Stegostoma tigrinum: one gene and its partner. Each later gene encodes a partner of the first gene's protein in a complex. Links are inferred from orthologs where the notes say so. Each region holds a gene or a part of one and is shown on either strand. Other genes may lie near its edges.

What was found.
Region 2: E3 ubiquitin-protein ligase Hakai (region 1) and mettl14 share a complex: the UniProt entries of both Homo sapiens proteins name them as parts of the WMM complex. The link is inferred for Stegostoma tigrinum from reciprocal best matches to the Homo sapiens genes CBLL1 and METTL14.

Annotation. Positions count from the first base shown.
Region 1 is NC_081378.1:53,898,118-53,905,970, reverse strand, and holds the start of E3 ubiquitin-protein ligase Hakai, read left to right. Parts: upstream 1-4,685; 5' UTR 4,686-4,718; coding exon 4,719-4,728; intron 4,729-4,826; exon of another isoform or gene 4,827-4,934; intron 4,935-7,669; coding exon 7,670-7,837; intron 7,838-7,853. UniProt on the Homo sapiens protein: E3 ubiquitin-protein ligase that mediates ubiquitination of several tyrosine-phosphorylated Src substrates, including CDH1, CTTN and DOK1. Targets CDH1 for endocytosis and degradation.
Region 2 is NC_081354.1:67,559,370-67,566,695, reverse strand, and holds the start of mettl14 (N6-adenosine-methyltransferase non-catalytic subunit), read right to left. Parts: upstream 3,142-7,326; 5' UTR 2,794-3,141; coding exon 2,728-2,793; intron 1-2,727. UniProt on the Homo sapiens protein: The METTL3-METTL14 heterodimer forms a N6-methyltransferase complex that methylates adenosine residues at the N(6) position of some mRNAs and regulates the circadian clock, differentiation of embryonic stem cells and cortical neurogenesis.

The DNA of each region.
Region 1 (7,853 bases):
TCTCGCGCTCTCTCACTCCACCTCTCTCTCTCTCTCCCTCCATTTCTCCTCTCTTGCACTCGCTCACTCCATCTCTATTTCTCCTCTCTTGCACTCTCTCACTCCACCTCTCTGTCTCTCCACTTCTCCTCACTTGCACTCTCTCACTCCACCTCTCACTCTCTCTATTTCTCCTCTCTTGCATCTCTAACTCCACCTCTCTCCACGTCTATTTCTTCTCTCTTGCACTCTCTCACTCCATCTTTCTCTCTCTCTCGCTCTATTTCCCCTCTCTCGTACTCTCTAACTCCACCTCTCTCTCTATTTCTCCTCTCTTGCATCTCTCACTCGACCTCTCTCTCTCTATTTCTCCTCTCTTGCACTCTCTCACACCACCTCTATTTCTCCTCTCTTGCACTCTCTCACACCACCTCTCTCTATTTCTTCTCTCTTGCATGTCTCACTCCACGTCCCTCTCTCTCTATTGCTCCTCTCTTGCACTCCCTCACTCCACCCCTCTCTCTCTCTATTTCTCCTCTCTTGCACTCTCTCACACCACCTCTCTCTCTCTCTCTATTTCTCCTCTCTTGCATTCTATCACACCATCACTCTCTGTTTCTCCTCTCTTGCATCTCTCACTCCACCTCTCTCTCTCCCTCTCTCTGTATTTCTCCTCCCTTGCATCTCTCACTCCACCTCTCCCCGTGTATTTCTCCTCTCTCGCACTCTCTCACTCCACCCCTCTCTCTCTATTTCTCCTCTCTTGCATACTCTCACTCCACCTCACTCTCTATTTCTCCTCTCTTGCACTCTCTCACTCCACCTCTCTCTCTGTCTCTATTTCTCCTCTCCTGCACTCTCTCACTCCACCTCTCTCTATTTTTCCTCTCTTGCGCTCTCACTCCATCTCTCTCTCTCTCTATTTCTCCTCACTCGCACTCTCTCACTCAATCTCTCTCTCTCTCCACTTCTCCTCTCTTGCACTCTCTCACTCCACCTCTCTCTCTCTCTCTCTCTATTTCTCCTCTCTTGCATCTCTCACGCCACCTCTCTCTCTCTCTATTTCTCCTCTCTTGCACTCTCTCACTCAACCTCTCTCTCTCTATTTCTCCTCTCTTGCATCTCTCACTCCACCTCTCCCCGTGTATTTCTCCTCTATTGCACTCTCTCACTCCACCTCTCTATTTCTAATCTCTAGCACTCTCTCACTCCACCTCTCTCTCTCTATTACACCTCTCTTGCACTCTCTCACTCCACCTCTCTCTCTCTCTATTTCTCCTCTCTTGCACTCCCTCACTCCATCTCTCTCTCGCTCTCTATTACACCTCTCTTGCACTCTCTCACTCCACCCCTCTCTGTCTATTTCTCCTCTCTTGCACTCTCTCACTCCACCTCTCTCTCTCTATTTCTCCCCTCTTGCACTCTCTCACTCCACCTCTCTCTCTCAACTTCTCCTCTCTTGCACTCTCTCACTCCATCTTTCTCTATTTCTCCTCTCTTGCATCTCTCACGCCACCTCTCTCTCTCTCTCTCTCTATTTCTTCTCTCTTGCACTCTCTCACTCCATCTCTCTCTATTTCTCCTCTCTTGCACTCTCTCACTCCACCTCTCCCCCTCTATTTCTCCTCTCTTGCATCTCTCACTCCACCTCTCTCCCCCTCTATTTCTTCTCTCCTGCACTCTCTCACTCCATCCCTCTCTCTCTATTTCTCCTCTCTTGCATCTCTCACTCCACCTCTCTCCCCCTCTATTTCTTCTCTCTTGCACTCTCTCACTCCACCTCTCTCTCTCTCTATTTCTGCTCTCTTGCACTCGGTCACTCCATCTCTCTCTATTTCTCCTCTCTTGCACTCTCTCACTCCACCTCTCCCCCTCTATTTCTCCTCTCTTGCACTCTCTCTGTCTCTCCACTTCTCCTCTCTTGCACTCTCTCACTCCACCTCTCCCCCTCTATTTCTCCTCTCTTGCACTCTGTCTCTCCACTTCTCCTCTCTTGCACTCTCTCACTCCACCTCTTTATATTTCTTCTCTCTTGCATGTCTCACTCCACCTCCCTCTCTCTCTATTTCTCCTCACTTGCACTCTCTCACTCCATCTCTCTCTATTTCTCCTCTCTCGCGCTCTCTCACTCCACCTCTCTCTCTCTATTTCTCCTCTCTTGCACTCTCTCACTCCATCTCGCTCTCTCTCTCCCTCCATTTCTCCTCTCTTGCACTCGCTCACTCCACCTCTCTGTCTCTCCACTTCTCCTCACTTGCATTCTCTCACTCCACCTCTCACTCTCTCTATTTCTCCTCTCTTGCATCTCTAACTCCACCTCTCTCCACCTCTATTTCTTCTCTCTTGCACTCTCTCACTCCATCTCTCTCTCTCGCTCTATTTCTCCTCTCTCGCACTCTCTCACTCCACTTCTCTCTCTCTCTCTATTTCTCCTCACGCACTCTCACAGTCCACCTCTCTCTCTCTCTCTCTCTCTATTTCTCCTCTCTTGCATCTCTCACTCGACCTCTCTCTCTCTATTTCTCCTCTCTTGCATCTCTCACTCGACCTCTCTCTCTCTACTTCTCCTCTCTTGCACTCTCTCACTCCAGCTCTCTCTCTCTCTCTCTCTCTCTCTATTTCTCCTCTCTTGCACTCTCTCACACCACCTCTCTCTATTTCTTCTCTCTTGCATGTCTCACTCCACGTCCCTCTCTCTCTCTATTGCTCCTCTCTTGCACTCCCTCACTCCACCTCTCTCTCTCTCTATTTCTCCTCTCTTGCGCTCTCTCACTCCACCTCTCTCTCTATTTCTCCTCTCTTGCATCTCTCACTCCACCTCTCTCTCTCTATTTCTCTTCGCTTGCACTCTCTCACTCGAGCTCTCAGCCTCTATTTCTCCTCTCTTGCACTCTCTCACTCCACCTCTCTCTACTTCTCCTCTCTTGCACTCTCTCACTCCAGCTCTCTCACTCTCTCTATTTCTCCTCTCTCGCACTCTCTCACTCCACCTCACTCTCTGTCCATTTCTCCTCTCTTCCACTCTCTCACTCCACCCCTCTCTCTCTATTTCTCATCTCTTGCACTCTCTCACTCCACCTCTCCCCCTCTATTTCTCCTCTCTTGCACTCTCTGTCTCTCCACTTCTCCTCTCTTGCACTCTCTCACTCCACCTCTTTATATTTCTTCTCTCTTGCATGTCTCACTCCACCTCCCTCTCTCTCTATTTCTCCTCACTTGCACTCTCTCACTCCACCTCTCTCTCGCTATTTCTCCTCACCTGCACTCGCTCACTCCACGTCTCTCTTTCTATTTCTCCTCTCTTACATCTCTCACTCCACCTCTCCCCGTCTATTTCTCCTCTCTTGCACTCTTTCACTCCACCTCTCTCTCGACTTCTCCTCTCTTGCACTCTCTCACTCCATCTCTCTCTATTTCTCCTCTCTCGCGCTCTCTCACTCCACCTCTCTCTCTCTCTCCCTCCATTTCTCCTCTCTTGCACTCGCTCACTCCATCTCTATTTCTCCTCTCTTGCACTCTCTCACTCCACCTCTCTGTCTCTCCACTTCTCCTCACTTGCACTCTCTCACTCCACCTCTCACTCTCTCTATTTCTCCTCTCTTGCACTCTCTCACTCAACCTCTCTCTCTCTATTTCTCCTCTCTTGCATCTCTCACTCCACCTCTCCCCGTGTATTTCTCCTCTATTGCACTCTCTCACTCCACCTCTCTATTTCTAATCTCTAGCACTCTCTCACTCCACCTCTCTCTCTCTATTACACCTCTCTTGCACTCTCTCACTCCACCTCTCTCTCTCTCTATTTCTCCTCTCTTGCACTCCCTCACTCCATCTCTCTCTCGCTCTCTATTACACCTCTCTTGCACTCTCTCACTCCACCCCTCTCTGTCTATTTCTCCTCTCTTGCACTCTCTCACTCCACCTCTCTCTCTCTATTTCTCCCCTCTTGCACTCTCTCACTCCACCTCTCTCTCTCAACTTCTCCTCTCTTGCACTCTCTCACTCCATCTTCCTCTATTTCTCCTCTCTTGCATCTCTCACGCCACCTCTCTCTCTATCTATTTCTCCTCTCTTGCACTCTTTCACTCCACCTCTCTCTCTATTTCTCCTCTCTTGCACTCTCTCACTCCATCTCTCTCTATGTCTCCTCTCTTGCACCGTCTCACTGCACCTCTCTCTTTATGTCTCCTCTCGCGCTCTCTCACTCCACCTCTCTCTCTATTTCTTCTGTCGCACTCTCGCACTCCACCTCTCCCTCCCTCTCTTGTCTCCCCCCCCCCCCTCCCCCTCCCCCTCCCCCCCCTCCCCCTCCCCCCCCTCCCCCTCCCCCTCCCCCCCCCCTCCCCCCCCCCCCCCCCCTCCCCCCCCCCCCCTCCCCCTCCCCCCCCCCTCCCCCTCCCCCTCCCCCCCCCCCCCTCCCCCTCCCCCTCCCCCCCCCCCCCTCCCCCCCCCCCCCCCCTCCCCCTCCCCCTCCCCCTCCCCCCCCCCCCTCCCCCCCCCCCTCCTCCCCCCCCCTCCCCCCCCCCCCTCCTCCCCCCCCCTCCCCCCCCCCCCTCCTCCCCCTCCCTCCCCCCCCCCCCTCCTCCCCCCCCCTCCCCCCCCCTCCTCCCCTCCTCCCCCCCCCTCCCCCCCCCTCCTCCCCCCCCCTCGTGTGTATTGCTGCGGTTCTCCCCGCCCCGTCCCGTCTCTTGTTGCCCCGGTGACCCTCACCACGCCCCCAATCCCACAATGCTCCTCTCACCATGGATCAGGGTAATGGACGTTTTTCTCCCGCTTTCCCTTCCTCTCTCGCTTTTCCTTTCTTCTTCGCGCCGGGTTTGGGCCCCGTGCGTTCTCTCCGGTTGCTGCGGGAGGCGAGTCTGTCAACGCGCCCGACTGTGAGTAACCTCCGGCTGGAGCGGGACTGAGGCGGCTTGACGATTACTCGAGAGCGGCCTAAACCGCCCGGAGTCCCCGCGGTAAAGTGCCGGACCGCCTGTCGCTGTGATCACCACTCCCCTCCTTCCTCCCATGCACTCTCTACACCTTGATTATCCCCATCGCCCTGATCTTGCTCCGACACCCTGATCATCGCCTACTCTCATCCCACCCCCCCCGCACTCCTTCATCTTCCCCCCTCACCTCCCCCCCCCACTCCCTCACCTCCCCCCCCACTCCCTCACCTCCCCCCCCACTCCCTCACCTCCCCCCCCCAACTCCCTCACCTCCCCCCCCCACTCCCTCACCTCCCCCCCCCACTCCCTCACCTCCCCCCCCCACTCCCTCACCTCCCCCCCCCACTCCCTCACCTCCCCCCCCCACTCCCTCACCTCCCCCCCCCACTCCCTCACCTCCCCCCCCCCACTCCCTCACCTCCCCCCCCCACTCCCTCACCTCCCCCCCCCACTCCCTCACCTCCCCCCCCCTCCCTCACCTCCCCCCCCCACTCCCTCACCTCCCCCCCCACTCCCTCACCTCCCCCCCCACTCCCTCACCTCCCCCCCCACTCCCTCACCTCCCCCCCCACTCCCTCACCTCCCCCCACTCCCTCACCTCCCCCCACTCCCTCACCTCCCCCCACTCCCTCACCTCCCCCCACTCCCTCACCTCCCCCCACTCCCTCATCTCCCCCCACTCCCTCATCTCCCCCCACTCCCTCATCTCACCCCCCTCCCCCTCCTCACCTACCCCCCTCCCCCTCCTCACCCCCCCTCCCCCTCATCTCACCCCCCCTCCCCCTCATCTCACCCCCCCTCCCCCTCATCTCACCCCCCCTCCCCCTCATCTCACCCCCCCTCCCCCTCATCTCACCCCCCCTCCCCCTCATCTCACCCCCCCTCCCCCTCATCTCACTCCCCCTCCCCCTCATCTCACCCCCCCTCCCCCTCATCTCACCCCCCCTCCCCCTCATCTCACCCCCCCTCCCCCTCATCTCACCCCCCCTCCCCCTCATCTCACCCCCCCTCCCCCTCATCTCACCCCCCCTCCCCCTCATCTCACCTCCCCCTCCCCCTCACCCCCCCTCCCCCTCATCTCACCCCCCCCTCATCTCACCCCCCCCTCATCTCACCCCCCCTCCCCCTCATCTCACCCCCCCTCCCCCTCATCTCACCCCCCCTCCCCCTCATCTCACCCCCCCTCCCCCTCATCTCACCCCCCCTCCCCCTCATCTCACCCCCCCTCCCCCTCATCTCACCCCCCCTCCCCCTCATCTCACCCCCCCTACCCCTCATCTCACCCCCCCTACCCCTCATCTCACCCCCCCTACCCCTCATCTCACCCCCCCTACCCCTCATCTCACCCCCCCTACCCCTCATCTCACCCCCCCTCCCCCTCATCTCACCCCCCCTCCCCCTCATCTCACCCCCCCTCCCCCTCATCTCACCCCCCCTACCCCTCATCTCACCCCCCCTACCCCTCATCTCACCCCCCCTACCCCTCATCTCACCCCCCTCCCCCTCATCTCCCCCCCTCCCCCTCATCTCCCCCCCCCTCCCCCTCATCTCCCCCCCCTCCCCCTCATCTCCCCCCCCCCCCTCATCTCCCTCCCTCCCCCTCATCTCCCCCCCCCACTCCCTCATCTCCCCCCCCACTCCCTCATCTCCCCCCCCCACTCCCTCATCTCCCCCCCCCACTCCCTCATCTCCCCCCCCACTCCCTCATCTCCCCCCCCCCACTCCCTCATCTCCCCCCCCCCACTCCCTCATCTCCCCCCCCCCACTCCCTCATCTCCCCCCCCCCACTCCCTCATCTCCCCCCCCCCACTCCCTCATCTCCCCCCCCCCCACTCCCTCCTCTCCCCCCCCCACTCCCTCCTCTCCCCCCCACTCCCTCCTCTCCCCCCCACTCCCTCCTCTCCCCCCCACTCCCTCATCTCCCCCCCCCACTCCCTCATCTCCCCCCCCCACTCCCTCATCTCCCCCCCCACTCCCTCCTCTCCCCCCCCACTCCCTCCTCTCCCCCCCCACTCCCTCCTCTCCCCCCCACTCCCTCCTCTCCCCCCCCACTCCCTCCTCTCCCCCCCCACTCCCTCCTCTCCCCCCCCCACTCCCTCCTCTCCCCCCCCACTCCCTCCTCTCCCCCCCCACTCCCTCCTCTCCCCCCCCACTCCCTCCTCTCCCCCCCCACTCCCTCCTCTCCCCCCCCACTCCCTCCTCTCCCCCCCCACTCCCTCATCTCCCCCCCCCACTCCCTCATCTCCCCCCCCCCACTCCCTCATCTCCCCCCCCCCACTCCCTCATCTCCCCCCCCCCACTCCCTCATCTCCCCCCCCCACTCCCTCATCTCCCCCCCCCACTCCCTCATCTCCCCCCCCCACTCCCTCATCTCCCCCCCCACTCCCTCATCTCCCCCCCCACTCCCTCATCTCCCCCCCCACTCCCTCATCTCCCCCCCCCACTCCCTCATCTCCCCCCCCCCACTCCCTCATCTCCCCCGATCTCCTTCCCACCCGCTGATCCCCACCCTGATCCCCCCCGACCCCACCCTGATCCCCCCCCGACTCCTCTTCCCTCACCCTTGTATAGCCCTCTCCCTCTTCCACGATGCCCTCTTATCCCACTTTCTCCCCTGCACCCTTTCCCCCAGACCCCTCCCATACCCTACCCTACCCATTCTTTCCTCCCCCCTTTGCACTCCCCCACCTCCAGCCGCCAGTATTGCGCATAAGCAGAAAGTCATGTATTTAAGACGTTTTTTGTTTTATTTTCAAAAGATAAAGATCTGCAAGGCACAGATGGTTCTGGATGTCTGAGTGGCATTGATGTTCGAAGACGTATCCCCATCAAGTTAATCTCTAAACAGTCTAACCGAAATAGAATCTCATCCCGTGTTCAGAGGAATATGAGCAGAAACTCTGCAAAGTCTCTCACTGCAGATGAAGGTGACAGGATGATAGC
Region 2 (7,326 bases), on another chromosome or scaffold:
AGACATGCTGACATTAATGGAGAAAGTTCCAGAGTTTAGGGCCTTGGCAACGGAATGCATGGCTATCAATGGAGTTTTTTTTCTTTATTCATTTATTCGTTCATGGGATGAGGGCATCTCTGGCTAGGACACTAGGTCAGTATTTACTGCCCATCCCTAATTTCCCAGAGGGCAGTTAAGAATCAACAGCATTGCTGTGGATATGGAATCACATGTAAGCTAGACCAGGTCAGGGTGGTAGTTTCCTTTCCTAAAGGACTTTAGTGAACTGGATTTTTTTTTCCTGACAAATGACAGTGGATTCACAGTCATCTTTAGATTCTTAATTCCAGATATTTATTCAATTCAAATTCCACCATCTGTCATGGTGGGATTTGAATGCAGCTTCCCTATACCATTACCAGGGTCTTTGGATTAACAGTCTAGCAATAATACCACTGCAGGAGTGATTAAAAATGAGATGTACAAAAGGCCAGGAGAGTAATGCAGATAACTCAAAGGGTTATGGATCGGATGAAGAGAAGGCAGAAAGAGCCAAGGCCATTCAGCGATAACAAGGATGAACACTGTAAAAGTTGGTTTAACTAGGAGCCAATGTTGGTTGGCAATGACAGGGTGATCAACAAGATGTCATACTAACTGGGAAATCTGATGACATTCAAAATTCTGCAGACACTTTACAGAAAGAACTTACAAGAGAGAATAGTCAAGCCTACTGATAACAAAGAAACGAGCACAGTTTCAGCAGATGTGAGTGGGGGAAGGGGCAGATGCTGAAACAGTCAATATCATGGAATACGGAAGTAGGTGTTTTAGAGATGTGCAATTAAAAAGTTCATCATGGGTTTAAACAAACCAAGGACAAAAACAGTTATCAGCGAGAGCAATGGTGTGTTTGGATTGGGAACGGAGTTTGTAGTCAGGACAGAAGACCTTAGTTTAAGTATCCCACATACTTCACTGGAGGAATTTCCTGTTTATCCAGGACTGGATGTTGAAGGAGCAGCTCACAGTAGATAGTCATAAGAGATGATGGAAGATAGAGCTGAGTATAGGAGCGGAAGCGAAACATTTATGTGCTTTCACATTATATCATCAAGAGGCAGCAGCCAGTACAAAGGGGAACAAAGAAGGATCATTAAGGAACACCAGCAGTAATGATTGGAGCAGGAAGAGAAACCATTCGAGTGGTTCCTTAGGTGCGATTAAGAATGAAACCAAATGACAGCAGGCACCACTCAACTGGATGACTTATCAAAAGCAGCAGATAGATTGATTCAAATTGAAAAAAGTACAGAGGAATTGAGCAGGTTTGGCAGCATCTGTAGAGATAGGAGTTGCACAAAAACACAGAAGGTGCATAAGGGAAGTCATTCAACCCCTCAAGCATGTTTCGTCATTCAACGTGATTACGGCTGGTCATCAAGTTCATTACCATAATCCCATCTTTCCCCCCATTTTCCTCGATTCCTTCAGCTACAAGCGCTATTTCTACCTCCTTCTAGAAAATACAATGTTTTGGCCTCAAACACTTTATGGTAGTGAATTCCACAGGCTCACCACTCCCTGGGTGCATTTGTAAAGGTTGGTGAGGGTCCTTAAGGACTTGCCAAATTCCCTTAGCCTCCTGAGGAAGTCCATCAACAAGTTTGCTGACACCACCACCATATTAGGCTGAATATCAAAAAACAATGAGATACAATACAGGAAAGGAACACAGTAATCAGTGACATGGTGCAAAGATAATCTTTCCCTTACTGTCAGCAAAACTAAAGAGCTGATCATTGACTTCAGAAAGCAAGGAGAACACATCTACATCAATGGAGGTGGGTAACAGCATCAACTTCCTAGGAGAGAACATAACCAACAATCCATCTTGGACTGCATGAATTCATGCAGCAGTCAAGGTGGCAAAACACCTCTTCTTCCTCAGAAGGCTAAGGGAATTCAGCAAGTCCTTAAGGACCTTCACCAACCTTTACAAATGCACCACAGAAAACATTCTATCTGAACGCATCATGGCTTAGCACATCAACTGCTGTGCCTAGAACTGTAAGAAACTACACTAAGTTGTGAATACAGGTCAGGCCATCACACAAGCCAACCTTCCATCCACTGACTCCATCTACTCGCAATGCCGCAGAAAAGCAGCCAACATCAAACACCCCTCCTACACCAGTTATACTCTCTTCCAACCTCAGAAGATACAACACATTAAACATATATATCAACAGGTTCAAGAACAGCATTTTTCCCCTGTCTTTATTACACAGGTGAATGGAACTCAAACTTCAAATCTAGTGTTAACCTTACTTTTGCACACCTTCTTTGCAGCTGTAACTTTGCATTCCTCATTCTGTTCAATCACCCTATGACCCTTGTATCTTTTAATGTTGTGATCTGCCGTAAGACACGAAAAACAAAATTTTTCACCTGTACTTAGATAGATATGACAATAATGAAATAAAAAACGGGTAGGTTCAATCGAAATTTCCGAAAGGGAGATGGACGGTTACGTGGAGGGTTACAGACAGAACAAAGAAGCCAGGTGAATCGCTCTTTTTGAGATTTAGTGCAAACACCGTGGAATGAACGACCTCCTGTGCCGGCCTCACCGAAGCCCGGCCTCAGATGTACCTAAACTGATCGCTCCTTTTAAACCAGGCGCTGGATCTGAAGTGCTCCCGGGAATACTGTCACCGGGGGTGTGAAGACAATGGCTCTCACCTGCTGGGCTAACAGTTCACGCCGCCGTTTCTGCCGCTCTCGGATCTCCTGCAAACGGCTGTCCATAGTCGGTAGCCCGCACACCCCACCCCCTCACCGGATCTGACCTTCCGTCCGCGCGACCAAGTTTCTACATCACTTCCAGCGGTGCACGCCACGACGTAACACCGCAGAGCGGGGCGGCCGTGGCGGTAAGCGCAGGGGCGGGTCTCGGTAAAACAGGGGCAGGGCCGAGTCGTTGTGGGTGGTACCACTTATAGGCAGAGATAATGGGAACTGCAGATGCTGGAGAATCCAAGACAATAAAATGTGAGGCTGGATGAACACAGCAGGCTAAGCAGCATCGCAGGAGCACAAAAGCTGACGTTTCGGGCCTAGACCCTTCATCAGAGACCCTCTTATCCACTTATAGGCAGACCGCGTATGTGTAAACGGTGCCGAGTCTGTTCGTGCGGAGCGGAGCGTGTGTGGGCGTGGTCGGGTGTGTGTGTGTGGTTGTCTGTGTGGGCGTAGTCGAGTATGTGTCGGCGCAGCAGGGTGTGTGGGCGTGGGTGCCTATGTGGGCGTGGTCGAGTATGTGTCAGCTCCCCCGGGTATGTGTGGGCGTGGCGGTATATGTGTCGGCGGAGCCGTGTCCGCAGATGGGTTTGTGAGCTGGAATGGATGCTGTTAAGGGCAACGCTTCCAATTCCCCAGTCCCCAACACCTCATTTTCACCATGGACGTCCAGTCCCTATACACCTGCATTCCCTATGCAGATGACCTTAAGACCCTCCGCATCTTCCTGTCCCGTAGACCGGACCAGTCCCCCTCCACCGAAACCCTCAGCTGCCTAGCCGAACTCGACCTCAGCCTCAACAACTTCTCTTTCGATTCCTCCCACTTCTTACAGAATAAGGGGGTGCCCATACACCTGCCTCTTTGTAGGTTATGTGGAACAGTCCCCCTTTCGCACCTACACTGGCCCAAAACCCCACCTTTTCCTCCGTTACATTGATGACTGTATCGACACTGCCTCATGCTACCCAGAGGAGCTCGAACAGTTTATCCATTTCCCCAACACCTGCCACCCCAACCTCAAGTTCACCTGGACCATCTCCAACACATCCCTTACCTTCCTGGACCTTTCTGTCTCCATCTCAGGCAACCACCTACAAACCGATGTCCATTTCAAGCCCACTGACTCCCACAGCTACCTGGAATACACTTCCTCCCACCCGCCTTCCTGCAAAAATTTCATCCCCTATTCCCAATTGCTTCGCCTCCGCCGCATCTGCTCCCAGGATGAGGCATTCCACTCCTGCACATCCCAGATGTCCTTGTTCTTCAAGGTCTGCAACTTCTCTCCCGGAGTGGTCGAAAATGCCCTCAACCGTGCCTCCCGCATTTCCTGCACCTCATCCCCCACACCTTGCCCTTGCAATAACCGCCATAAGACAATCCCCCTAGTCCTCACGTACCACCCCACCAACCTCTGGATACAGCACATCATCCTCCAACACTTCCGCCATCTACAATCCGACCCCACCCACTAAAGACATTTTTTCCACCCCACCCTTGTCTGCCTTCTGGAGAGACCACGACCCCCTTGTCCGCTCCACACTCCCCTCCAACCCCACCACACCAGACACTTGCCCCTGCAACCGCAGGAAGTGCTACACCTACCCTCACACCATCTCCCTCACGCCCATTCCAGGCCCCAAGAAGACTTTCCACATCAAGCAGACGCTCACCTGCACATCCGCCAATGTGGTATACTGCATCCACTGTACCCGTTGTGGCTTCCTCTACATTGGGGAAACCAAGTGGAGGCTTGGAGACTGCTTTGCATAACACCTCCGCTCGGTTCGCAGGAAACAACTGCACCTCCCAGTCACGAACCATTTTAACTCCCCCTCCCATTCCTTAAGTCGACATGTCCATCCTGGGCCTCGTGCAGTGCCATAATGATGCCACCCGTAGGTTGCAGGAACAGCAACTCATATTCCGCTTGGGAACCCAATGGCATCAATGTGGATTTCACCAGCTTCAAAATCTCCAATTCCCCCACTGCATCCCAAAACCAGCCAAGCTCTTCCCCGCCTGCCTAACCTGTTCTTCCTCTCACCTATCCCCTCCTCCCACCTCAAGCCGCACCTCCATTTCCTGCCTACTAACCTCATCCCAACCCCTTGACCTGTCCGTCCTCCCTGGACTGACCTATCCCCTTCCTACCTTCCCACCCATACTTTCTTCTCTACCTATCTTATCCTCTATCCATCTTCAGTCCGCCTTGCCCTCTCTCCCTATTTATTTCAGAATCCTCTCCCCATCCCCCTCTCTGATGAAGGGTCCAGGCCCGAAACATCAGCTTTTGTGCTCCTAAGATGCTGCTTGGCCTGCTGTGTTCATCCAGCCCCACACTTTGTTATCTTATATCAGTGATTATTGTAGATCTGCGTGTAGAGTATTTCAATGAGTTTCACAACATGAAATGAGCTTGTCTGTATTTTAATAAAGTTCAGTCTCATATACAATAAACATATAGCAAACAACAACAAATAGTTAATTGTAGGTCTCAATAAACCTCCAGTTTGACCTCACCTGGGGCATTGTGGATCACTCTGAACACTACATTTCAAGAAAGAGGCCTTAAAAAGGGTAAACTAAGCTTTACCTGTTTGCTGGGAAGGTTGGAGGATTTTGGTTTTGAGAAAAACTTGGTGCAGTTATGATGGTCCTCCCCAATAGAGATGATTATGATCTTAGGGGTTTTCAAGATGATGTGACGCTTGTTAAAATTGAACAACAAAAAACCTTCTCAGCTTGGTGACTGTGGTGCGCTTAATATCATTTCCAAAAGAACTAAAAAGAAAGAGGAGAGTATTTTCACATATAGTTGCCAAGATGTGAAATGTTTCACCTGAACATTTGATGCAGGCTTGCTCCTAATCAAACTTTCAAAAACTATCTCATAAACAAAAAAAAATTGAAGATGAGATAAAAGGTAATGAACAGAAAGTGAGGACCTATTTCAACAACCAACACAGACACAACATGTTAAACGACCTGTTTTTATGTTGCTATTTCTTGTGGGTTTTTGTTTGCAGTTTTAAGATACTGGTATCCAATGTTTTAACACATGCCACTGTTCATTTTTCATTACCTTATCGTTATTTTAAGTAAATGAGAATTTATTCTAATTGAACAAGTTGGGTGCAACATAGCAGTTAAGAGTGCAGTAGTGATGGGATGAGGAGATTGGCTTATGATGTGCGGGGCATGCATGTGGAATACAGTGAAACTGTGTTTTGTTCTCTTTCGTAAGTGAATAACCACCATCATAAAGATTGTGTCAGTAGGAATAAAGCATAGATTGCATAGGTTGTCAGTCAAGAGTCACACATCTGAATAAAATGTATTTGTTTTATTCTATGTAATCCCAAAGTTGTGTTGTTTTATAAGTGAATGGATCCTGTGGATCCAAAGTGATATTATCAATCACGTGGCGATCATAAGGTAATTAAATGTGAGAAAAGTAGCAAAAAAAAATTGTTTATACCTGCTCTTCCTGGGTTCATTCTGGCCACCATGATTTTTTGTACTGACTTAATTTTTGTCATGTCTCTGACCAGACTTACCACAGTTGAACTGTAATAAGTTTGTTCTCAGTCCTAATTCTTTGCTCCACTCCAGAAGTAGTGAGCAAGCACCCTCTGTCATTCAGAGTTTCATATGTTTGAGGTCCAGACATATCACCTGTATCATCAAGCGTCCCCTGCTTGTCTTATTAACCTCACCCATGTCTGGTTTGTCAGTGTAGCTGAGAGCCTTACTCCATATGGAATTCTGCACTGCTCCTGGAAGTGTGAAATGAGGAATATGCTGTTTTACAGCCATCAAATTGAGCTCCTTGCTTTGGAAGTCCATTTGCTTACCAAAACCAAAAAAAAAGTTCCAGGATAAAGATTATATTTTGTTTAAAGGAAAACTTGAAAACTTTCAAATGTACTAATAAATGAAACTTCTTGTTCAACAAACCAGATACTATTTTGTATAGTTGTACATTCCCTATGCGTAACAGATAATTATTGAGAATAGATAGCCTAAAAATGTTAAATCAGCAGTCATGGTATGTCTTGAATGAATAAAACACTTACACTCCCACAGCTCATCATTTGCCCAGTCAATCAACTAAATTCCTATTTTTAAAGCTATTTGATGTTTTCTTCTTGAGTACTCAGTCAAATTCTCCCGCTGTTATATAGTGCTGATGTTACATGTTTTCTAAAGTTCATGGCCCAATGGATTTAACTTTTATCTCCAAAGGATTTCTAATATCACACCAAGAGCATTGAAGGTGTAGCCTATTTATAGTTGCCTTACACAGGAGACCAGGCAGTGTAGGAGTAGCATAATAATAATATTGTTTAGCCTGTTTCTTGAGAGCAGTAAACTATTTTGTCAACTGTACAATGGCACTTGGTCTGCTAACATCAATGTTCTGGTAAAATGCAAATAGATCAACATTTGTGTGTCTGTTATTCTTCGAGTGGCTTATTTTATTTTCTGATCCATCAAAGCTTTAATGAATGCTTCCTTGGCTGAAGGCAGTGCCAA